Schizosaccharomyces pombe: one gene and its partners. Changing the gene in region 3 together with the main gene of any one other region gives a genetic interaction. Each region holds a gene or a part of one and is shown on either strand. Other genes may lie near its edges.

Region 1 (5,196 bases), 1.6 Mb from region 3:
CAGCATGTCTAGCGCTGTAGAGAATCATGAAAAAGATACTGGCAGCGAAGGCTACAGTGGAGCCCAAAGATACTAAAACATCCATATTGGCTGTTCCTCTTTTCAGTGCATGATATGCGGCAGAATAGTAGACCCTTCCAACACCAAACTGGACGGGAAGGGATAATACTAGGCTGATGATGTGGCCAGCACATATACCAAAATAATGGGGGACCAAAAAAGCAGCACGCATGGAATCACAAGAATCGAATATCTGGGGTAAAAACATCACCGCCAAAGAGAATGATATTGAAATAATAAATCGGATTTTCCATACTCTAATTTGACTCCCTCGTTGAAGTGACAGAATACGAGAGGTGGAGGAATCTACTGGTTGAAATGTACATTTGACACCCATAGATAATATTTCCTTCATGATGGAACGAGGGCCAGTAATCTCAGAATCATAAATGACACGTATAGCTGCATCCGGGGAGGAAGAGCAATTGACGGACAAAACGCCTTGCAGTTCATTGATATGATTATGTACTTTGGTCCATTGTTCCGCCTGCATAGGAGAAAGTAATAAATAATTAGCCATGACACCATGTTCACCCTCTGTTGAAGAAATCACAGACGCATCAAATCCACAATCTTCAATTTTCTCAGCGATCTGATCCGGTGAGATAATGCTAGGATCATGAACGGCAATAGCACGCTCAAGAAGCAACGATATAGTGAATTGTTCAATTCCTTCCACTCCTTCCAACATGGATTGGATAGAGGCCACACAACTGGTGCATGTCATACCCTGGACTGAAAGTGTAGTAGTATACATTTTAAGAAACTAAACAAAATTTTTAAAGGCAATCTAAATTATAAAAAGAAATAACGAAAAAGAAATAGTACAAGCCAATTAGAGATTAAATAAGGAAAATTAAGAGAAGCGAGTTACTGTATAGAAACGATAAATGTTGGAAATGTCGAAATAAATAGATAATAGTAAGGAACCCAAATCAAAGACAAGAGACGTAAAAAAAAAAAGAAACCCCCTCAAGTGAAGAAATAATCAAAATTTGACGATTAAAACCAATTACTTAATGTAAGTCAACAGCAAAAAGAGACAAGCCGATGATCAACAAAAGAAAATCAACATACAAAACTTTGGAAGGAAAAGAAAAATAACAAAAACGATACCAATGTTAAACAAAGCCAGCTAATAAAGTCTTTTTACACGCTTAGCAGTTAGCTGTTTTAGGTTGGGATACCACGAATTCAGAATTCGAATTCGCTTATTGTATCGTGATTTTCACCACAAAACGATTTAGAAAAAAATACAAAACAAAACGAATTCAACTTCAACAGACTACAGAAGAAGAGCAAATTATCAGCTGAACTTGTTAACAAAGTGTTAGTGAGTGTGTGGTAGATTACAAAAAGCACATGATGGCAGCGATATAAAACCGCAAAAACTCGCGCAAACTACGAAATATACAACTTGTAAAAATAATATTCAAATTGACATAATTATGTTTTAAATTCGAGGAGAATAAAAATCTTTGACAATAATCGATCGAAGCAGAGTACGACTTTTGGAACCGAGACGCATGCACAGTGCAAGCATATGATTCCACTCCCAATTGCTTAACAATGTGTAAAGACACTTCGGTAAAGCAAAATACAACAGTATGGCTAAGAACGTTATGTAAATATCGAAAATTGTAACGCAACATTCGATAAATGAGATTAAAACGGTAAACGTTAGAGCATGTCTTCTAATACCTTATCAAAGAATAAGGGAACGAAGCGTACATGGGTAAATTGTTGACCCATTCTAAACGATAAATAATAAATGGGACACCCAATAAAATAATTCAATGGATTTTGTCTTGGAAGAATTATTAATTCAAGTCGACATAAGGACCTTAACAAGAGCTGCCACAAACTTGAATAGTCTTCTAACCACTCCCACTAGAAAAATTATCGTTGAAGGTAAACATAAACATACTGTGCAAGCGCTAAACAGATTTACACAGATAAATTGAGAGGATCAATCAAGCCAGAAATCAAGAAAAGAGCAAAGATCAACTGCAGAATATCAATTGGCAGTTTTGGGGTTTGAACTGGTAAGTTTCAAGCCCAAAACTTACTAGATGACGGATTAAGGAGAATAAAAAAGAAAAAGGAAAGGAATAATCATTATGAAAAAATAAGTGGGGTTATATGGGTTTGCATGGAAAGAAGCTTAAGATTTCCAAAGCTTTTTAATACCCTCCGTAAGGCCAATATCATTCGTGTTGAACTCATAGACGCCAATAAGTGTAAGAACAGTACATCCACGTAAGATCCAGTGCATCAAAGGAGATAACTTCTTAAATCTTCTTGCAGGGAAGTAGTCAATCACACAAGATTCAAACCCCAAGTGGGCATGCGTAATCAAGGTGCAAGCCAATGCAGCGTCCATTAAGGGATGAGAAGTTCCGGTGAACAAAGGGATCATGACTTGAGGAACCATGGCAATAGCAATAATTCTTTCAAAGTCCCAATGATAGCTTCCGTGGAGCTTACTGTGGTGAGGGAAAACAGCAGCATCATTAACAGTTCCCTTAATGGTCTGAGGGGGAGGAGGGAAAATTTTCGCAACACTGGTTGTGCTAAAAGATTTAACTGCAAAAAGAAGACGTCCTTGACGAAGTGCTCCAAGTCCTAAACGTGTTTGTAACATATTGTTTGTAAACCAAGAAAAGCTGGTGGTGGTAGTAGGTGAGTTCGTATTGGCGGATCTTGTGTCCACATTATTGGCCATTCAACAGCTCGATGTGTTGAGCTTGGAGTGGCCGGAAATAGGCGATGAGAACCTAAATCTATCTACTCATAAACGAAAAATTGTATAACATAGAGTAAAGACTAGAAATTTAAATAGATATAATAGATTAATAAGTTTATTCAGAAGAATCTCCGGTCTTTAAGGTCGTTTCAAAACCTGGTTATTACTTTTTATAATAATATTATTCACTGCTGAAAACGAATTACCTTCTACATATAATATTACATGGGTTTTGTGGTGAGTTTGAATATCTATTATAATATTACACAGTACCAAAAGTTACTGCAGTTTCAAAAAAAATTTTACGGAAAGCACTACATTGTGAAAAAACAATAATCTACTGTAAATCTTTTTACTTAATAATATAATATAGATAAAGCTATAGAAATTTACTTGTAGCAATTATGCTAATATAAAGGTGCTGCATTGGCTTAAAAAAAGGTTAGAGAAACGGTTTTAAGAGGATGAAAATTTTATTTAAATTAATATCATTTATATAAAAAACTATTCTCATAAAAAGAAACCATCAAGCTACTCAATAGTCGATGTATAACAATGCTTGATTCGGTGCTAGTCAAAATTCTATAGTTGGACTGTTATTTTTTTAAAAATGTATTAACCGAAATATTGTAATGGAAATCATGGAAAAGAGAATTTCGTTAAGTATAAATAACCTTTTAATGTAGATGAATACGAACTTAACCTGATGAAGTGTCTTACCCTGTCTGATTCAATGTCATATAGATTCTTTTCAATATACCGATGAAACAATATATCCCCTACATAGTTTTTTACCAATGAGATTCTCCATGTTAAGTAGAGATATATTATATCATGAACTGGATTGTACGGTCATTCGTTTCCTTCCTTTATAGCAAATTGCGCACAGGGCAAAGACTAGGCAATCCGAAAGTTTCTGTTTGAATGGTCAACTTCTTATTTTTCTCTACATGGAAATTCTAGTAAGGGATTCAAGGATTGCTAGTTTTCTTTTTTTATTAAATGGGATCAATTGGTCATTTGCCGAAATTCGAACTTGGGACCTCGATAACACGTATTACGCTACACCTCTACGGAATACCTTCTTGCTACCTACTTACCCTTTACCATCCACAGAATCCCACCCAACCAAAGGAGCTTGAATTGATATTACTATGCTGAGGCTTCAGAATTTGCCAAAGCTAGTACGTCGTTTTGCGACTACTGCTTTACCAAAAACAGAAACCACTACTTTAAAAAATGGGCTTACAGTTGCTACGGAACATCATCCGTATGCCCAAACAGCGACCGTCCTTGTGGGCGTTGATGCTGGCTCAAGAGCTGAGACGGCAAAAAATAATGGCGCTGCTCACTTTTTGGAACATTTGGCGTTCAAAGGAACGAAAAATCGCTCCCAAAAAGCATTGGAATTGGAATTTGAAAATACTGGTGCACATTTGAACGCATACACCTCTCGTGAACAAACCGTTTATTATGCACATGCGTTCAAAAACGCTGTACCTAATGCAGTTGCCGTTTTGGCCGATATCCTGACAAATTCAAGCATTTCTGCCTCGGCGGTTGAGCGTGAACGCCAAGTCATCTTAAGAGAGCAAGAAGAGGTTGACAAAATGGCCGATGAAGTAGTCTTTGATCATTTACATGCTACCGCTTATCAGGGTCATCCTCTTGGACGTACAATTTTGGGTCCTAAGGAAAACATCGAATCTCTTACCCGTGAGGACCTTCTCCAGTATATTAAGGACAACTACCGTAGTGATAGAATGATTATCTCTTCTGCCGGTTCGATATCTCATGAGGAGCTTGTAAAGCTCGCCGAAAAATATTTTGGCCATTTGGAGCCTTCAGCTGAGCAATTGTCGCTTGGTGCTCCTCGTGGACTCAAACCTCGTTTCGTCGGGTCTGAAATCCGTGCTCGTGACGATGATTCACCAACTGCCAACATTGCCATTGCTGTTGAAGGTATGAGTTGGAAACACCCAGATTACTTTACTGCATTAGTCATGCAAGCCATCATTGGTAACTGGGACCGTGCTATGGGAGCATCTCCCCATTTGTCTTCTCGTCTTAGTACTATTGTTCAACAACATCAACTTGCCAATAGCTTCATGAGTTTCAGTACTAGTTATAGTGATACTGGACTTTGGGGTATTTATCTTGTCACTGAGAACCTTGGCCGTATTGATGATCTCGTCCACTTTACCCTCCAAAACTGGGCTCGTTTAACCGTTGCAACTCGTGCTGAGGTTGAACGTGCCAAGGCACAACTCCGTGCTTCGCTTTTACTTTCTTTGGATTCAACGACCGCCATTGCAGAGGACATTGGTCGCCAATTGCTTACAACTGGTCGTCGTATGAGCCCTCAAGAGGTTGATCTCCGTATCGGTCAA
Region 2 (5,647 bases), on a different chromosome or scaffold from region 3:
AAACATCTCAATTAAATGAGGAAAGCGCATACTTGGAAAAAAGGATTCAAACCCTTGAAAGATCTCTTGAGGAAGTAACTCCAATTTGGAAGAAGCAATGGGAACGAGAGTTAAATGCAATTGTACAAGAGCAAGAATTTCTGGATAGTCATACTGTTCTTATATCAGATCTTAAGAGGGATCTTTCCGCATTATCCACTGTCCTTTCAAATGTTTCCGCGATAGCTGAATTGCAAGCCAAGTCCTCCATTAAAAGCAAACCCTTAACTTTGAAAACTGCCACTGAGTCTGAGATTAAAGGTTATCGTGATCAAATTCAGCTAGAAGTACTAAATCTAAAACCCGACAGTGAAGCACGACTACAGGCTATTGAGCGTAGTGAACTGTTGCAGAAAAAACGACTGTTGCAACGAGTAGATGAATTTTCAAAAGAAGTTAAAACTTTTGTTGAGAACGAAAAGTTGAATAAGATCGGAGGAGCGGAAGAGGCTGATCGAATTCGAACAATTCAAGATGAAAAAGTACGTAAAATTCTATGGGATGACTTTGTGTCATCGAAACGCAATGGAAAAAATGGAGGTAGTTTCATTGAGGAATCGAGTGACACTGTTTTAGACGAACATGTTGTGCCTGATAATTCTGCTAAAGCAACTGTTGCAGAAATAGACTACGGTTCACAGGTGGATACAGAGAATTTTATGTTAGAACGCAGTCCATTGGCAACTCCAAAGCCATTGAAGCAACCTGATTTTAATATATATGAGACGCCGATCGTCCGTAGTACAGCTCATGAAACAGATGATGAACAAACCCCTTCTAAATACTCCGATAACAGAGTCGAAAGTTCTAGTGATACAGTGTTTGAGAATACTGATCTTAAGTACGATAACAATGTACAGATGAGTAAAGTGACTCATCATGTAAGACACGATACGATATCCACTGATGACTATGACGCTTACGAAGATGCCGAAGATGTTGAAGAGACAAGCCTAACTTAATGTGCATAAGTTTTATTCGATTTGGCAATGATTGTATGCCAGTTTGTGTATTTTTTTTTTACTTTTTTTAACTTTAATTGTTACGAGAGAAATTACCCTGTATTACACTAGGACTGATGCAAATCTTGTGAATCAAGGATTTGCTGAATAGAGTTACAACATACCTTAATATGTACAGTTATAACAAGCAAAGGAAGCTTCGATGTTGTCCAATACCACTATTGGGATACTATTTTCACTTACAGTCTAACCAAATATGAGATAAACACAGAAAAGAAATCTTAGATATTAAAGAAAATTTGATTAACTTGTCGTTTTAAAAATCAGATATTGAACCATCGGAATCTTAAATACGACGTACGCCGTAACCGATCAAGGCAACACTTAAGCCTACTGATTTCACTAGAGAAGATATAGTTTTGACAAGGATGTAAGGGGTACCTCTGCTTTCTGTGAACATATAGTCGACTACGTCGGGCAATCCAGATGCACCAAATACATAAAGACCCACGAAAAAGGCACCTTTGAGTGTCACAGTGCCTGTAAGTTGCAACAATGCAGCGATCGAGTACGACTGAACTGCTGTACTAAGGAAATTGCTAACATAAGTTGTAGCAACCTTCTTGGTTTTACTTCCAGCGTCATATTCGACGTGAGGTGCAGTGCTCATTGCCCTTTTCCAAATATCGCCCATTAGGGGTCCATAAACGAGGAAAGAAGCAGCATGGTCGAAGGCAATCCCCAAGAGAATTGCACTAGGGCGTACATACGGCATGTGAGTGTAGGATGGCATTTCTTGTATTAATATTTAGTTTGAGTTAGAACAAGATTAATATGAATGTGAATATTTTGTAAAATAAATGTTTTGTAATTAAAGGATTTAAGGGCGCTACCACTAAATATATAGTATACTCAAGGTCCAATTATGGATTTAGGTACAGATTAATTTGGGGCGTCACTTTGACGTGTCGATGAAGTATGATAATTGGGAAATACTGCTTAGCCTGACTTGACTTGTTTTAAGTCGCTATTTCGCTATTTACATAGTGATATCTACATCATTTTCCTAAACTTTTGGTGGAGCAATATCTCATACTGTTCGGATGCTGTGCCAAGTCTTGCATAAAGAAATCAGTGAAGTCGATAAATATAAGATTTGGAGTGCAGCGATGGTAACAACTAGTGATTAAAAATAGAAATTTACTACAATAATTTTCGCATGTTTTACATTAAAAAGCCCTCACAGAAGAATCAAAGTTGGATTGAAATTCCAGCACTAAAACAATGTAGCTTAGAAATTTTGTTTGCTGGCCCACATTTGATATATTGCAAGCTTGATCTTACGCAGTAAACACTTTTAGGGTAGCTATCGGTTGTTCACACTATTGCGAACAGTGCGTTGAACGACATTACAGCAGCAAGTAAACCTAACCTAGAGGAATAAGAAACAGTCACATTTGTACAACAAGGGTTTAGCAGAGAAACTTTATGCTGTCGAGTTCCTAATCACCACCATCTAACCATCACTTATAAAAGTATCAAAAAATGGTGAACATTCCCAAGACCCGTAAGACTTACTGTCCTGGTAAGAACTGCCGCAAGCACACTGTCCACAGAGTCACCCAATACAAGAAGGGACCTGATTCCAAGCTTGCTCAGGGTAAGCGTCGTTATGACCGCAAGCAAAGTGGTTTTGGTGGTCAAACTAAGCCCGTTTTCCACAAGAAGGCTAAGGTTACCAAGAAGGTTGTCCTTCGTTTGGAATGCGTCTCTTGCAAATACAAGAATCAATTGGTTTTGAAGCGTTGCAAGCATTTCGAGCTTGGTGGTGAAAAGAAGACTAAGGTATGTCGAAGAATGCTGATAACGAGTGGATTGGATTTAGACGAATTTGTAAAAGAGTTTTTGCCGTGGTTGAATACCTCTCAAATCCAGAAAAAAAATTTTGCAAAGCGCTTTTATGAATTGTCTTTTGTTGAGTTTCATCCTTATTATCGATCATTTTCTTTATTTCATCTACTAACAATCATTTTAGGGTGCTGCTATCCAATTCTAAGTGTTTTAGCAAATACAATTTTCTTCTTTTACGGTGATCCTAAAAGCAATTCAAAGTAGTGTTTCATTTGTATTGTATAAATAATGACATGATTCCGATAGAGTAGCACACAAAGTGATGAGTTGTCATCAATTAGCAGTTCGCTAACGCTAAGGTCTGTTCTCAATATTGGAGCAATCTTTTTCGAGTGTTTCTAGTTCCATCGGTTTGAGTCAGAGCTTTTCAAGACTTGTATTACTGCTTGAGTAGAAGACAGGTGTTGTGATTTCGGAAAATAACCCATCACATTTGTCAGCATGTTAACTAAGATAAAAGTAATCAAACAAGTACAGCGTAAAATAGCGAGAGTACTAAAGCATCAAATATGCTTTCAAGTATTGCAAAAAAATTTTCTTTAAATTATCCATGCTTACGGGTCTTCTAAGGTTTAGGAGACTATGCCATTTGCCGAATTATGGATATATTAAGTAACTAATTGCTAATAGTGAGAGTGTAGTGCATCCTTGCATAACGGCACTTGGATTTCACACTGCAGGCATAATAAATAATTACTTTTTTTTGGTACTAAAGCAACGTACGTTCTTTGTTTTTCTGCGTACGACGTGTACAATTCCCTTGCAAAACTAAGGTTCGCTTGTTCAATTGCTAAATTTGTTTTTGTGGACGACCATTATAACGCGCTTCAATGAGTTTATAAAAGTTTCATTAAATTGCAGTACCAGATAAATCGATATCTAACCTTCTCCCTGCATCTATAATCTCTAGCTTCACCAACATTAAGGCCCGTCAATTACTTTCGTTTCGTTGGCCAATATGTCACAACCTTTGCATGCCAGGTTTGCTACCAGGGCTGTAAAAAATCCCATGATCCTTGAGAAAGAGCGACAACTTACGGATTCTAAATATCATATTTTGGTCGCTGCAACGGGTTCGGTTGCGGCGATAAAATTGACATTAATCGTTAAATCCCTACTGACATACAAGGGCGTCGACGTTCAAGTCGTTTTAACGGATCCGGCTCGTAACTTTGTTGAGAAAGAGGACTTAACGGCTTTGGGTGTCAATGTTTATAACAATGCGGATGATTGGAAAAATTGGGACGGACTCGAATGTCCTATCACACATATTGAGCTACGTCGATGGGCACATCTTTTGTTAATTGCCCCTTTAAGTGCAAATACTATGGCCAAAATGGCAAATGGTCTCTGTGACAATTTACTTACCTCTCTTATACGTGCCTGGGCCCCTTTAAAACCAATTCTCTTGGCTCCCGCAATGAATACCTTGATGTGGACTAATCCTATAACTCAGGAACATTTGAGCGCTATTAGCAGAATATACAAGAATAGTGAATTTATCATGCCAATCGAGAAAGTGCTTGCCTGTGGTGATATTGGCATGGGCGGTATGGCCGAATGGAGAAACATTGTAGGCAGAGTTGCCGATAAATTGCAGCTAGAACAAAAGTCTGTCTTGCCGAACGCTGTGAAAAACATCGATGGACAAGATGATGACTCTAGTGAACAAACTGCTGCTTTTGAAGAGTACGATGATGATGATGATGACGATGTTGATGATAATGAACAATCCAACAGTATGATTGAAACTTCTGCAAATGCAGATATTACCCCCAAGGCCTCTCTTTTACCCTCTACTACAGAATCTTCTATAAGCAAAGATCACGAGACCTCCCAAGCTCCATTAGGCTCGGAATCGGTGGATACTCAGGCCTCTGAAAATGTTACTACCAAACCCGAACCTCCTGTACCATTTACTTCCTCCGAATATAGAAATACAGAAGAAGAGCAATACCTAAATTTGATTCGATATATCCTTGAAAATGGCCAGTCGCGGCCCGATCGCACGGGAACTGGTACGAGATCGGTATTTGCTCCTCCACAACTACGCTTTTCTTTAAGGAATAATACTCTACCTCTTCTCACTACAAAGCGTGTTTTTTTACGTGGTGTGCTTGAAGAGTTACTTTGGTTTATTCACGGTGATACTAATGCCAATCATTTAAGTGAAAAAGGGATTCATATATGGGATGGCAATGGCAGTAGAGAATTCCTAGACAGCAGAGGGCTTACTGATCGTAAAGTTGGTGACCTCGGTCCTATATATGGTTTTCAATGGAGACATTTCGGAGCGCAATATGTTGATTGCGATACTGACTATACCAATAAAGGAGTGGATCAGCTGGCTCAGGTTATATCTACCCTCAAATTAAACCCTTATGACCGTCGTATAATTCTTTCAGCTTGGAACCCATTAGCTATTCCTGAAATGGCTTTACCACCTTGCCATATATTTTGCCAGTTTTATGTCAGTGAGCCTTGCAAGCCTGGGGGAAAGCCCCAACTTTCTAGTATGATGTATCAGCGCTCTGCCGACATGGGGCTTGGAGTTCCTTTTAACATTGCTTCTTATTCTCTCTTAACACATATGATAGCTCACATGTGCGGCTATGAAGCTGCCGAATTTGTTCACGTAATGGGTGATTGTCATATATACAATGATCATTTAGAGGCATTACAAACTCAGTTGGAAAGAGTTCCTAAAGCTTTCCCTAAGTTGTTTTTCAAACGTG
Region 3 (6,922 bases):
ATCGTCTACCAAAACTGCTAAGGTAGAGAAAGTAAGACAACGCATATCGACGGCGAAATAAATTGTATAAAACACGTTAGTACAGTATTGTAAATACTGAATTTTAAGAAGTTACTTCGCACCTCATAATCGCTTTTAAAAATATTGAGTACGCTATAATCATCGGTACGCAACGTTACATTTTACTGTTTTCATTCAGTTTTTAAACAAATTTCGATCTTTGTTATTAAATAAGCATGTAATCAATTTGTAATGGCTATATGTTTAGAAATTATAAACTTAATATCTGTAAACAAAAACATTTTGCAAATAGCAGTTTGGAAAATCTATATATACCAATTTCTATACTATATTTTTACAAACATTTAATATTGTTTTTAAATCCTTATTTTGATTTCAGGAACAATGAATTTATTTAAAATTCAATTTTTTGCTTGACTAATTTACTTCAAGTGTTTTAATTTACGCATTTACTAGATTCTCTTTAAACTTAAGGAGATATCATGTCAGAACTTGATAGATTTCAAGTATATACTATTTTACCTGTAGTCTATCAAACACTTCCGAACATTCGCAATACGCAAATAATAGAGGAGTCCTCAATTATTATAAAATTATAGCACCGATTATTAATATAAATTTCCGTGAATTGGCGGTTATGATAATCTACAAATTTATTCTATTTTTTTTTTAATGATGTACAGTAATTCAACAATTTAGCTTGGAATGAGGCTGCTCATATTTTCCTTTTCCATATATTACATTCAATTACCATTTTAAATACCCAAACAGTTAATTTTGTTTAAATATTGCTTAATGTTTCTGTATCGTATATGAATTGAAAATTCTTTTTTTTGGTTTCTGATCATCAGTAAATCCTAAATTAATTTTCTAATAATGTACTAAAGTCTTAATTTTAATGAAAGAAAGAACAGATCGTGTCATCCATCGAGCATATGTATTACGGATAAGTTAAGTTATAATTTTTTTGCATACAAATACAAAAAAGCCCATTTAGTTCATTAATTCATTCATGAACATAGTCCTTTGACGGCGTTGCTAAAAATGCAATCAGAAACTTATTGCATCGAGAAAAAGGTAATGCAAATAGAAAAAAAACAATAAAGATTCCTTCTTTTTTCATCAATAAAAATCATAACTAAGCAGGTAATCGGAACTTTTTTCCCTGTAGAACTGTTCGGCGATATACGACTGCAAAATCACCATACAAAACGGTTTGGATAATGCCCGCAAGAATTGCAACACCGATGACTTTCTTGTGAACTGCAATACGATAAATCCAATGAGGAATATATAGTCCTCTATATAAGCACATTGCAAATAAGTAATGGGCAGTCAGGCTCTCTGTTTCACCAGATCGTTGTAACATAAACAATTGAGGGAGAATTGCAACACTTTCTAACCAAATACTAAAAGTCCATAGGATGTTACTAATGGTATAACTGGTTGGATAAATGAGAGCCAGAACTGCACAACCACCTAAGATATATTCAGTTCGAAAAGTATCAAGACGTTTGTCATATGTAGGTCGCAAAGTCATTAACATCAAGTAGCATATATAGGATTCGGAAGCTATAAAAACTATCCTCATCAAGAAATAATACAAGCTTTTGTATCTCCAAAAGAGATCTGTTAAAAAAAAGAGTTAGCAAAGAAAGTATTTTTCGAAAAGTTCAGCACATACTCAAATAACGTGTAACATAAACAAGCAGAAACAAAAGATGGGATTTGAGAGATAGTCCTGAACAGGTTTTCGATTTTTTCATTCGGTGCAAAAGCAAGAAAATAGCAGCCAAATGGGCCATATCACCTAATGATTAGCTTTACTTTGACGAAATTCATCATACCCAGTGCACTGAAAAATGTCATGATTAATTAATAAAAGTAAGGAGTGCCTATTTCAACGCGCCAGGTATTAGGAAAAAGAATTTGGTAGTGGTGTTGACAATAGGCTTAACTGCGCAGAGATATAATTGGGGTATGCAAGTGGGGGCCAAATGTTTAATAAATGCAACAAAAAAACTGTAATTTATATTCGTACTTTAGAATGCGCTGAATCAAGATTCTCAAACGATCAAATCTTTTTATTTAAAACAAGGAGTTTAGCTTGCATGAAAATTATAGAAATGGGCTTTAAAGTGACAAACTTGATGCCATAGTACTTCAAATATTACATTATGAAGCTGGACTTGACCTACTACTAATAGGACAGCAAAATAAAAACCACTTGACCCTACTTTTGGTACTGTTTTAAAATATATACTGCATTAAAGCTGCAATGAAAATTCACTTGTATATTCGGAGTAAGTTCCTAGAAAGGTTGTATTATAAAGCCGATTAGTTTAAAGGGATTGAGAGGGAACGTAATCTTAAATAGCTAAAGTTCATAAAATAAAAAATAATAAAAAATTGCTGAACCTTTTTGAGAAAATTATGTAAAAAAGATATGATAAAATTTTCTAACCGACGTTTTAAACAAAAAGAATTATAAAAAAGTGTAGTCCCCAGTTTTAGCTCAAATCCTTGAGTTGTTTATTGAAGAATACACAAAACAATTAAGGTTTTTATTGGTTAATTTTTTTTGGGAGGAAGGAATCCAGATGACCTAGGAGCGTCGTGTGTAAAACAGTAAGTATGCCACACGATCGCCGTGACCAAGTTTACTAAGACTCGGATCAGCGGAAAGTTCGGAGTTTTCAACATCATGAATAGGTACGCGGTGAATGTGTGTATCATCAATCCGAAACCAGCCGCTTTTATCAAGTTGCTGAACATCGACAGTATAATGACCACCAGACGCAGAAGTACCGTGATGATAAACCACTGCATTCAAATCATATTCCGGATGTATGGAACCACGAACAGAAGGGCTGAAAACGTTTTGTGGAATACTCAAGCGAGCAGGATAAGCAATAGGCTTATAATTTTTCTGTGTACCGCCAGATGCTTCGTAAAAGAATCGTTTAAGGTGAAGAATCAAGACAGGAGGAAGTGACTCTATATACATTTGCTTGGTAGCAGTAACATTTCCTTTCGACGAATGCCATTCCGGTAAAATTTCAGGGGCGGTCATATGCTCCAACGCATCGATAACTGAATGTATATCTTCTGCTTGAATGTCGAGTTGCAGAGGTTGAAACGGTTCTAACAAAACAGAATCTCTTGCACTCGGAACCCTTAAGGTAGAGCGCAGCTGACCACCAAAAATTTGGCTTATAGGAGACCTTTCAACAGTAGCAGATCTAGCAATTACTGGCTTTTTATTTTTACCAACTTCGGTCCAGCCACTAGCTTCTACAGAAGATTGATCATCAAAACTATCTAAACCAGACTTGATACCATTTGAAATTTTGATATCAGATTTTGGATTTCTTTCGTCATTTTTTAATAAATAATGTCTACGTTCACGCACGAATTCTTCATGTAATTCGTCAAGAAACAAATTCAAAAACTCCTCAGCATCCTCCTGTTCGCCGGTCTGCAACATTTCAAATCGAGGATTCCCCTTAGTAGCTGAATATACCACTTCTGGCAAAATAGAATCTCCTTGTAAATCAAATTTCTCAGAATATTCTCTAAAATCCCTAGAAAGCATTGTCAACGATTCAATAAGAGGTGTTGTACGTTCAAAATTATACGGAACCATCCGGTTAATTTGCTTAAGTAAATTATAAAATGGAACACAATACATTAGTGCCTGTAAAATAGAGTTCATAAAACATATATTTCCGGTATTTATAAAACCCCGAGGCTGTATAGGACGGGGTGCATCGAGGGATGGAGAATATGTTTCGATCAATTCACCAAGGGATGAATTGAAACTTTTTTTCTCAGACCTGTCAGACGGTACCGGAACAGAATGTGATTTTTTAACAGGAGAGTCTCCTTGAACATGCTTTTTCGCAATTGCAGACCACGATTTAGGCGATTTTTCAGACTCTTTCGTCTTTGATGTGACCAGAGGCATTTGCACCGAAACCGACCAATCTAAATTCTTAGGCGAACGCCTTTTTCTAGCCTTTCGATGAGGAAATTCATGTTCAGAGCATGAGTACCATGGTAGCTAAACGTTAGTATAATCACAATTTTAATAAAACATACCAGTGAATTGATAATAAATTGATTTCGTGACGAATCACTTTCCAAAGACGCGCTGTCCGTTGCAGAGGTCAAATCTCGCATGGAAATACGCACACTCTAGCAAGATTGAACTCTTGTTTACTAATTTGATGGTTGGCTGTCGTTCGCTTTGCTCTTCAAAAGACTGTCCAAAACTTTTTTTAATATACACTATACCTCGTTAATTCTTCGTATTCCACCAAGTGTATTATGGTGATATTCCACTGTAAACACTTGACCGCCTAACTCAAATTCCTAATTATTTTTAGTTGTTCTTTTTTATTATTAATTATTGAATGTCCATGCCCATCTTTAGTTATTTTTAGAGAATACGGTATATTTACATATCTAAGTACCACTATATGTATCTTAAACCACAAAAGTGATACGAAAAGAGAAAAGTAAATAGTAAATTTTAAAATTCGATATTCTGCTGTTGTGTGAACTATATATAGGTCTTGAATATATATTGTCACTCATTTTACGCCGCAGCAAATTCAATCGTTAACCAAGTCTTAATGTGATCATAATTGAAATGATTAATTGTCAAGGAGGTGAAGTAAGATGAACGAGTAAATTAAGTGACTTTTTTAAGTAAGCTGAGCAGTAAAGTACGTAGCAAATTTTAAAAAAGATAAATATAACAATAGTCGTGAATTTTTAATAATGTTAACTATGCTGTTGCTATGCGGTATATCTTTTTGTGTTTCAGCAATGCAGTTTGAATATCTGTTTAACGATACATAGAACTGCGGCAATTTTCTCTTGCGATCTACAATATAGCGGGATGCAGTATATTTTTAACTGACAATGTTTATAGGAAGCTATTAGTATCGATCATCGATACAGCTAGGAACTGTACCTCGTTCCTCAGTTCAACTGTAGCTCTATTAATAATATTTCTATAAGTTGCTATCAACGTTGCATCTATGTAGATAGACGGATAGTTTATCCTCGTGTATCAATAAACGGATCTTAAGTATTTAAACATATGGCATATAGTGATACGCAACATAGTATGTCATAGCGTAGTGTAGTATTGCTTGAAAAAATTTAATGTTCTTTATCTTTCGTAAAAGTTTTTAACAAAACTCAGCGATGTGAATAGTGGAGGTTGGACTGAAAGAATGCCAGTGCCAAAATTTTTCCTCAGCCCAAATAAACGTTTTTGGACTTCATCACATATTTTCCATAAAAGATGGGAAGAAAACAGAAGTCTAAGCAAGGAATTCCCCCAACTTTAGAGGAAAATCATAATTCTTCTCATAAAGTGACAGAAAATGCAAAAAAGAGAAAGCATTCAAAAGAAAAACCACAAAATTCTCGGAAACGCCAATTAGCAGAAGAAAAGAAATCTTTGTTTGAAAATTCGGATTCTGAGAATGAAAAAGATCTTATTGATGCAGACGAATTTGAAGAGGCTGAAACTTTATCAGACTTGGAACATGACGAGGAACCCCAAACATTTGCTGACGAGTTTATCGATGATGAGGCTAAAGAATGTGAAGGGGAGGAAGAAGATTCTGTTTTTGATTCGGATGAAGAGCATGAGGTTAAGCCTATGTTTAGCGATGATTCTGGAGATGAAGAGGATTTGGAACTTGCGAATATGGAAGCCATGTCTCGCAAACTTGATGAGGAAGCGGAATTAGAGGAAAAAGAAGCCGAGGAAGAATTGCATACCAACATACATCCTGAGGCTCCTACTGTTCTTCCACCTATTGATGGTTTTACCGATAGCCAACCAATATCTACTCTTCCACAGGATTTGAGCCAAATTCAATTGCGGATACAGGAAATAGTCCGTGTTTTGAATGATTTTAAAAATTTGTGTGAACCTGGACGCAATCGTTCTGAATATGTTGATCAACTCTTAAATGATATATGTGCGTATTACGGTTATTCTCGCTTTCTTGCTGAGAAGTTATTTGAATTATTTTCAGTTTCTGAGGCTGTTGAGTTTTTTGAGGCAAATGAAATGCCTCGTCCTGTCACAATTCGTACCAATACTTTAAAAACCCAGCGACGAGAATTAGCCCAAGCATTAATTAATCGTGGTGTCAATTTGGAACCAATTGGTAAATGGTCCAAAGTAGGTCTCCAAGTATTCGAATCCCAGGTTCCAATCGGTGCGACACCCGAATATTTAGCTGGTCATTACATCCTGCAAGCTGCATCTTCCTTCTTGCCTGTAATGGCCCTTGCGCCTCAACCAAATGAACGTATCCTTGACATGTCCTCAGCACCTGGTGGTAAAGTCACTTATGTTGCTGCATTACAAAAGAATACTGGAATTATCTTTGCAAATGATTCTAACAAAGCTCGAACAAAGGCTCTTTCCGCTAACATTCATCGTTTAGGTGTACGTAATGCTATTGTATGTAATTACGATGGCCGCAAGTTTCCCAACGAAGTAATTGGCGGTTTTGACCGTGTTCTCCTTGACGCCCCATGTTCGGGTACTGGTGTTATATATAAAGATCAGTCTGTTAAAACTAACAAATCTGAAAGGGATTTTGATACTCTTAGCCATTTACAAAGGCAATTGCTTCTAAGCGCTATTGATTCTGTCAATGCTGACAGCAAAACCGGTGGTTTTATCGTGTATTCTACTTGCAGTATTACTGTTGACGAAGATGAAGCAGTTATTCAATATGCTTTAAAGAAGCGCCCTAATGTTAAGCTAGTGTCCACTGGACTTGAATTTGGACGTGAAGGGTTTACCCGTTTTCGTGAAAAAAGATTTCATCCAAGTCTAAAGTTAACTAGACGTTATTATCCT
Region 4 (5,448 bases), on a different chromosome or scaffold from region 3:
TTTAATCCAATAGTCGTCCGCTACAAAAATAACATCGTCGAGCAAAAATTTCCCAAATCTTTAGTACTAACAGTAAACTATAGTTTCGACTGTAACAAAGTTTCAATGGCTACCGGGTCGTCTAGTGTCGCCATAACAAAAGTTTGGCTATTCCTCGTAAAGGACTTGAATTATCAACTTCGATAAAAAGCAAAAAAATACACTAAATTAATGGTAAAATACCAAATTTCAAACCATATCCTTACTTACTAAATTATTTCGGCCTGTTAATATATAAATAGATTCATGAATTTTAGCACACACGTTTTAAAACATCGATACCTCAATCTTCCATTCAACCAAATACAAAATCGATAAAAAAACACTAATTTCAATTTGAACATGATTATAAGCTAGCATAATTAATTATTATCAGAACAAAAACCCCTGTTCTAATCCTAATGAAATTTTGTGAAAACTAATTCACAAAACTATAAAATTTAGACATGATATCATGTTCCCAGTTAGAAACTCCCTTATAAGAACCCAAATTTGCATTTAGAACTTCTCAGAAACAAGACCGTCCTTGAAGAAGATCATGTAGGGAGTAATACCATCCTCACGGTAGTTCATTAAGACAACCATTGCGTCGGGATCCATGCTCTCACCAATGTAAAAGTCGTAGTCCTTGAAGTTAGCCAAAATCTTCTTGACGAATCCAATGGCATTCTTCTCGAAAACAGGAACACGCTCGGGGTTGCTTTCTTGAAGACGAGCCTTGATAGCCTTCATGTAACCCTTGATGTAAGACATATAGGACTTCTTGTCAAAAGAAGTAGGGCTTAAACGGAAAGAGTAAACAAGATTGTTTACAGTCTCAGTACCCTCTTCAGCATTCTCCTCAGCATCCTCGGCAGAAGGGTTGGCACCAATGTCAACATCACCACCTTGCTTGACAGTGACCATTTGGCAATCAGCCTCGTAGACAATATCGTCTACCTCCTTCAAGTCGTAGGCGTCAGAAACGAGTTCGTCTCCAGAAATAACGTCCTTGTACAACAACATGGTGATTGCAGATGGTAGCTCATAATTTGACTTCTCGCAGGTTTAATGAGATAAAGCAGTCACAGTTTAGGGCAGGGTTACTGGATTCTAGCCATCCGTATGGAATGCGGTTACGAACAGTATTCACTTTACGTAGTACAGCGTTGTTTTCGATAGATACATTTTGTTTACCAATTCCTTCATTTTTTTCAATTTGTCGTAGTCTGTTCTCCTTTCTTTTAAATAACAATATTCTTTATATTTTCAGATTTTTTTTTAGATGAAAATATCGTTGTACTCAGTCAGTAGTAAATTGTTTTATATTACTGAATCTGATTTTTTGAGTGAAACCATTATGATGCGTGTAAAATTAAGATTAAAGCTGGAATTAAAGTCCAAATGAATTCAACAATTGAACCATATTTAACAGTATGTGTATTAATCTCTATGTTCTTTAATCAACTTGTAACCATTTATGTCGCCTCAAATTTATTATTCGAGCTATTATCCGTCAATTCTTGAGTCGTAATTAGAACATTCTCAACAGTACTGAGCTTCAGAAGAAACCTAAAAAAGTAGTGCATTATAGTTGATAATAATTCCTTAACGTTTATATATGATATACTTAAAAGTATGATATCGTACATCCTCAATTTGAAATTGCAGGGCCATTAAAAACACTCGTTAATAAAGATATTCAGTTCAATTAGAAAAAAATGACAAGGTACATTTTGGTGACAAACAAAGAGTAACTTAATGTTTTCCGTTGATTAAATTTTCGATCAATATCCCAAAATTTAAAACGCTTTAATGGAATGGATTAACGATTAAAATCGACTTCATTTCTAAAACCTTTCAAGCTTTAAACCGATTCAGTCCCTTCATTTAGAATGGCATATTTCGATTTTTGCTGAAAAAACCAAGACGACTGTTACCACTTTTGTTTACTACTTTACTCACATAGACATTCGAGAAAACGAAAAATAGTTGAGCACGAATAGAATTACATGAAAAAAGTAACTTCTATTTAAATTTAAAAAGCTCATTCGTAACTAAGCTCTTTTATTGTGCAAAGAGAGGATTAGTTTTCTAGTTTGTACAATTGCGCTGAAAAGACCAAGAACTCCAATTTGGTGTTTGTGTAAACCAGCTCCATTTTCTACAGACCAGTGAATACACAAAGGAAGGCTAGCCAAGTTTGAAGCTAAGTCTAACTGATGCTCCTTTTCGTCTTCTGTTTTTTCACGCAAAAGCTGGTAAATGGTCAATAAAGTATCGAGAAGCCAAAATCTAGAAGACCAAAGCCATAATTTGTCTTCCAACGGTTTTGATATGGAAATAATCTGTTTGCCGCCTAAGAATGCCAATCCTTCTGTGACATAGTATCCAATATTGATTGCGTTACTCATGTAAGTTTCAGGAGAAGAATCTTTACGAAAATTTACGATTAATTTGTAGAGACCAGGAAGACGTAAAATACATCGAAATTCATTTAGCATAGAAACCAGTTGAGCAGTTGATTTCGAAGATGCTGGATCCAACCTCGCAACGTTGACAAGAATGGCAGCAATTTTGTCAATTCCGCTGGGATTTTGCAGCATCAGGTTTAAAGAATGCATATAAGACATATTTCTCAAAAAATTTCAGCTCTAAGATTTGGTCAATTATATTGTTCACGAAAGGTAGTCTAATTTTCGTATACTTTAGTAGAAAAGCGTAAAATCCAAAAAAATACTAAGTAGCGTATGTAAACGACTAAAATTACCAAATCCAAAGATTATTTGAATGACGATAGATGTCGGTTCGGCAACGTCTTATGGTATAGAGAGTGAGTGTGCTGCTATAGTCGATCGGATCAGCAAACGTTAGCTAGTCTGTTTAGTACACCAATAGATTTGATAAGAAAAATCTACAGTGCAGCAAAGTGAAATGTTATTTTATGAGTTGATCGATTTTACTTTTAGAATTACAAATGATAAGATATGATAACTTTCTCCAGTTATCACGTCGATTAGATCGCCGGAAATAACTCCGATATTGAGGAAAGTGTATTCAGTTGCAACAAACAGCTGTGACGGCTTCAAAGTATCGGCAAATCATTTTTTGCATGTGTTTTAAAAAAATAGTTCAGCAATAAAAAACATAAATTTGTTAGGCTTCTAGAGGCATATGCTTATTTATGTGTTATTTTTTTAATATTTATCATAACGTATTTTTTATTACAAATCCTTAGGTAGCAATATCTTAAGAATTAAACATACATATGTTCAAGGATAAAAGAAAGAAAAACTTGGAAACTGGGTTTATTTTTTCTATTCCTTTGTTCAGATACATATAAAACAGCTTAGTTACTATGGATTATTATCATATAGAATTATGATAACTGTTTAAAATAAATATTATTTGGAATAACGAGATTTGTTTAGGTCGGCTTGAGATACGCACAGCTACGTAAGATTGTAGATAACAAACTTTGAAAACCTTCGCATTCAGTGGCCTGGGGAGCATGCAGACTACACTTCCTATTCTTCCTTTGCAAAAACCTTCTCTTCTTACTACATTAGTATATTTTTCATAGGGAGGTGCTATATGCACTGTATTCATAGTTACGCTCTGCTTACAGTGAGCAAAGTATTTCTTTGGACGCTAAAAAAAGGCTCCTGTATATTGATTTGAGTAAATATTTTGGCATAGAAAAACACATTCAACGCTACTTAATTGTTTTTTCCATTTCGAACTACTATTGAGAGGAAGTTGTTTTTTCAATTGTTTTATATCATTTGAAAAAAATTGAAGCACAATTGCTTATCTTTGATCAAACGTTTAAGGAGTAAGCTCCAAATTCGATAATCCCTATTCCGTTCTACATAAAACCTGAGTTCATCTCTTGTGCTGTCGCTTTCAACCTCAGAAGCTGTTAAGGATATATATTAATTTAAAATTTTTACCAAAAAATATATTTCATTCTCTTCATAGCCGTTTTCTGTTTGTTTAATTTCAATCTCATATTAATTCTTCTGATCGGGCCCCCCTTTGTTCTTTAGATTCATTTTTTCCTACTCTTTCCTTTTAATATTTAATTCCTAAGTCATTAGCTGAACCGTCAAGATGCCTTCATTAGTCAGGAGATTTCAGCATGCTTCAACAGAAGAACAACCTTTCGAACTCAACATCCAGATGGAGTCTCCTCCTTTGGTAATGTATGGGAATCCAGATGTTTCTAGTGGAGCGTTAGCATCTGGACTTGCCAAGTTGACTGTATTTCCTGCAGATCTCAAATGCGAATCCATTGTCATGGAATTCGTCCGCATAATATCCACAAAGCGTCCTTTGCGCGACAGCTGTCCCGATTGCAAAGCTCAGGTTGAGGCTTTTGAGAAATGGGAGTTTTCTAAAGAACCTACCGTATATACTCATGGTACACATACTTGGCCATTCACTTTTATAATACCTGGACATTTTCCACAAACGACCAACTCACCATTCATAAACGTTACTTACATCCTAAAAACTCGCGTTAAGATTCCCAGTCAACCCGATTTTGTTTTTGAATATCCTTTAAACTTGAAACGCTCTATTGTCACTAATGCTGATAAAATTGCCCAGCGTCTCTTCCCCCCTACTTCGCTTATTGCTCTTTTAGAGCTGCCTCCTGTAATTCACCCTTTGAGTTGTGTTCCTGTTGAATTTCAGCTGACCGGTGTAAAACCTGAAAACTCCAAGGTTGGTTGGCGCTTAACGAAGATTTCGTGGAGAATAGAAGAACAGATAAAAGCTCAAATAAATGGTTGCTCGACCCATACTGGGACAAAAAAGCCATACATTTTCAAGGAGACTCGGCTGTTGGGAAATAATGAACATAAGTCTGGTTGGAAAGAAGATGGCGATAGAATTATCTTCGAGATCCCTATCAGTACATCTTTACTTTCAAAGCCTATTTGTGATGTTTCCTTTGATGGACAATTCTCTCTATATATTGCCCATCAACTAATTCTTGAGACTATAGTCGTCGAAGTGATGAACTCGCATCCCATAAACTCGAATGCCCGAATTTTAAGGATGAAGGTCAATTTACCTTTGACTGAACGAGGTGGTCTTGGTGTTAGTTGGGATGAGGAATGCCCCCCAATGTTCAATAGTGTTGGACCCAGTCCTCCTGCATATGAGCAAGTTGCTAGATCCTCTCCCACTGATATTCCACTACCTCCACCTTCATGTCCTACAAATGTTCAAAGAGATTGATTCGAATTTTAGTTTCTTCCGTCAATTTTGTTTTTTTATCTTTCTGTTTTAATTGGGCTTGTTTTTTCATTTCAAAGATTTGTGTATCTTTATATGACTTGAACGGTAATTTTTTGACCTTTACTAAGCTTGGATGATACAACAGGATTTCCATTAAAGGTTGCTTAACGTTTGTTCAAATTC

Evidence for each region.
Region 1: mutations in ubp3 (region 3) and tim18 together harm fitness more than expected from each alone (negative genetic interaction), as found in Schizosaccharomyces pombe (one large-scale study listed by BioGRID).
Region 2: mutations in ubp3 (region 3) and SPOM_SPAC15E1.02C together harm fitness more than expected from each alone (negative genetic interaction), as found in Schizosaccharomyces pombe (one large-scale study listed by BioGRID).
Region 4: mutations in ubp3 (region 3) and SPOM_SPAC1F12.04C together harm fitness more than expected from each alone (negative genetic interaction), as found in Schizosaccharomyces pombe (one large-scale study listed by BioGRID).

The regions. Positions count from the first base shown.
Region 1 is NC_003423.3:2,033,608-2,038,803, reverse strand, and holds tim18 (TIM22 inner membrane protein import complex and succinate dehydrogenase (SDH) anchor subunit Tim18), read right to left. Parts: upstream 2,745-5,196; 5' UTR 2,705-2,744; coding exon 2,225-2,704; downstream 1-2,224. Other genes in the region: Cu(2+) transporting ATPase Ccc2, read right to left, coding at 1-817; SPOM_SPBC29A3.21 (uncharacterized protein), read right to left, coding at 1,410-1,712; MPP complex beta subunit Qcr1, read left to right, coding at 3,961-5,196. UniProt on the Schizosaccharomyces pombe protein: Membrane-anchoring subunit of succinate dehydrogenase (SDH) that is involved in complex II of the mitochondrial electron transport chain and is responsible for transferring electrons from succinate to ubiquinone (coenzyme Q).
Region 2 is NC_003424.3:3,719,963-3,725,609, forward strand, and holds SPOM_SPAC15E1.02C (uncharacterized protein), read right to left. Parts: upstream 1,875-5,647; 5' UTR 1,795-1,874; coding exon 1,348-1,794; 3' UTR 1,295-1,347; downstream 1-1,294. Other genes in the region: bud6 (actin-interacting protein 3), read left to right, coding at 1-1,001; rpl42 (60S ribosomal protein eL42), read left to right, coding at 2,547-2,846, 3,037-3,057; hal3 (thymidylate synthase), read left to right, coding at 3,871-5,647.
Region 3 is NC_003423.3:3,674,994-3,681,915, reverse strand, and holds ubp3 (ubiquitin hydrolase Ubp3), read right to left. Parts: upstream 4,268-6,922; 5' UTR 4,204-4,267; coding exon 4,123-4,203; intron 4,085-4,122; coding exon 2,627-4,084; 3' UTR 2,255-2,626; downstream 1-2,254. Other genes in the region: erd2 (HDEL receptor), read right to left, coding at 1,160-1,650, 1,706-1,831, 1,869-1,890; RNA methyltransferase Nop2, read left to right, coding at 5,339-6,922.
Region 4 is NC_003424.3:3,808,991-3,814,438, forward strand, and holds SPOM_SPAC1F12.04C (uncharacterized protein), read right to left. Parts: upstream 2,860-5,448; 5' UTR 2,652-2,859; coding exon 2,076-2,651; downstream 1-2,075. Other genes in the region: tma19 (translationally-controlled tumor protein), read right to left, coding at 538-1,044; arrestin-related substrate adaptor Any2, read left to right, coding at 4,132-5,265.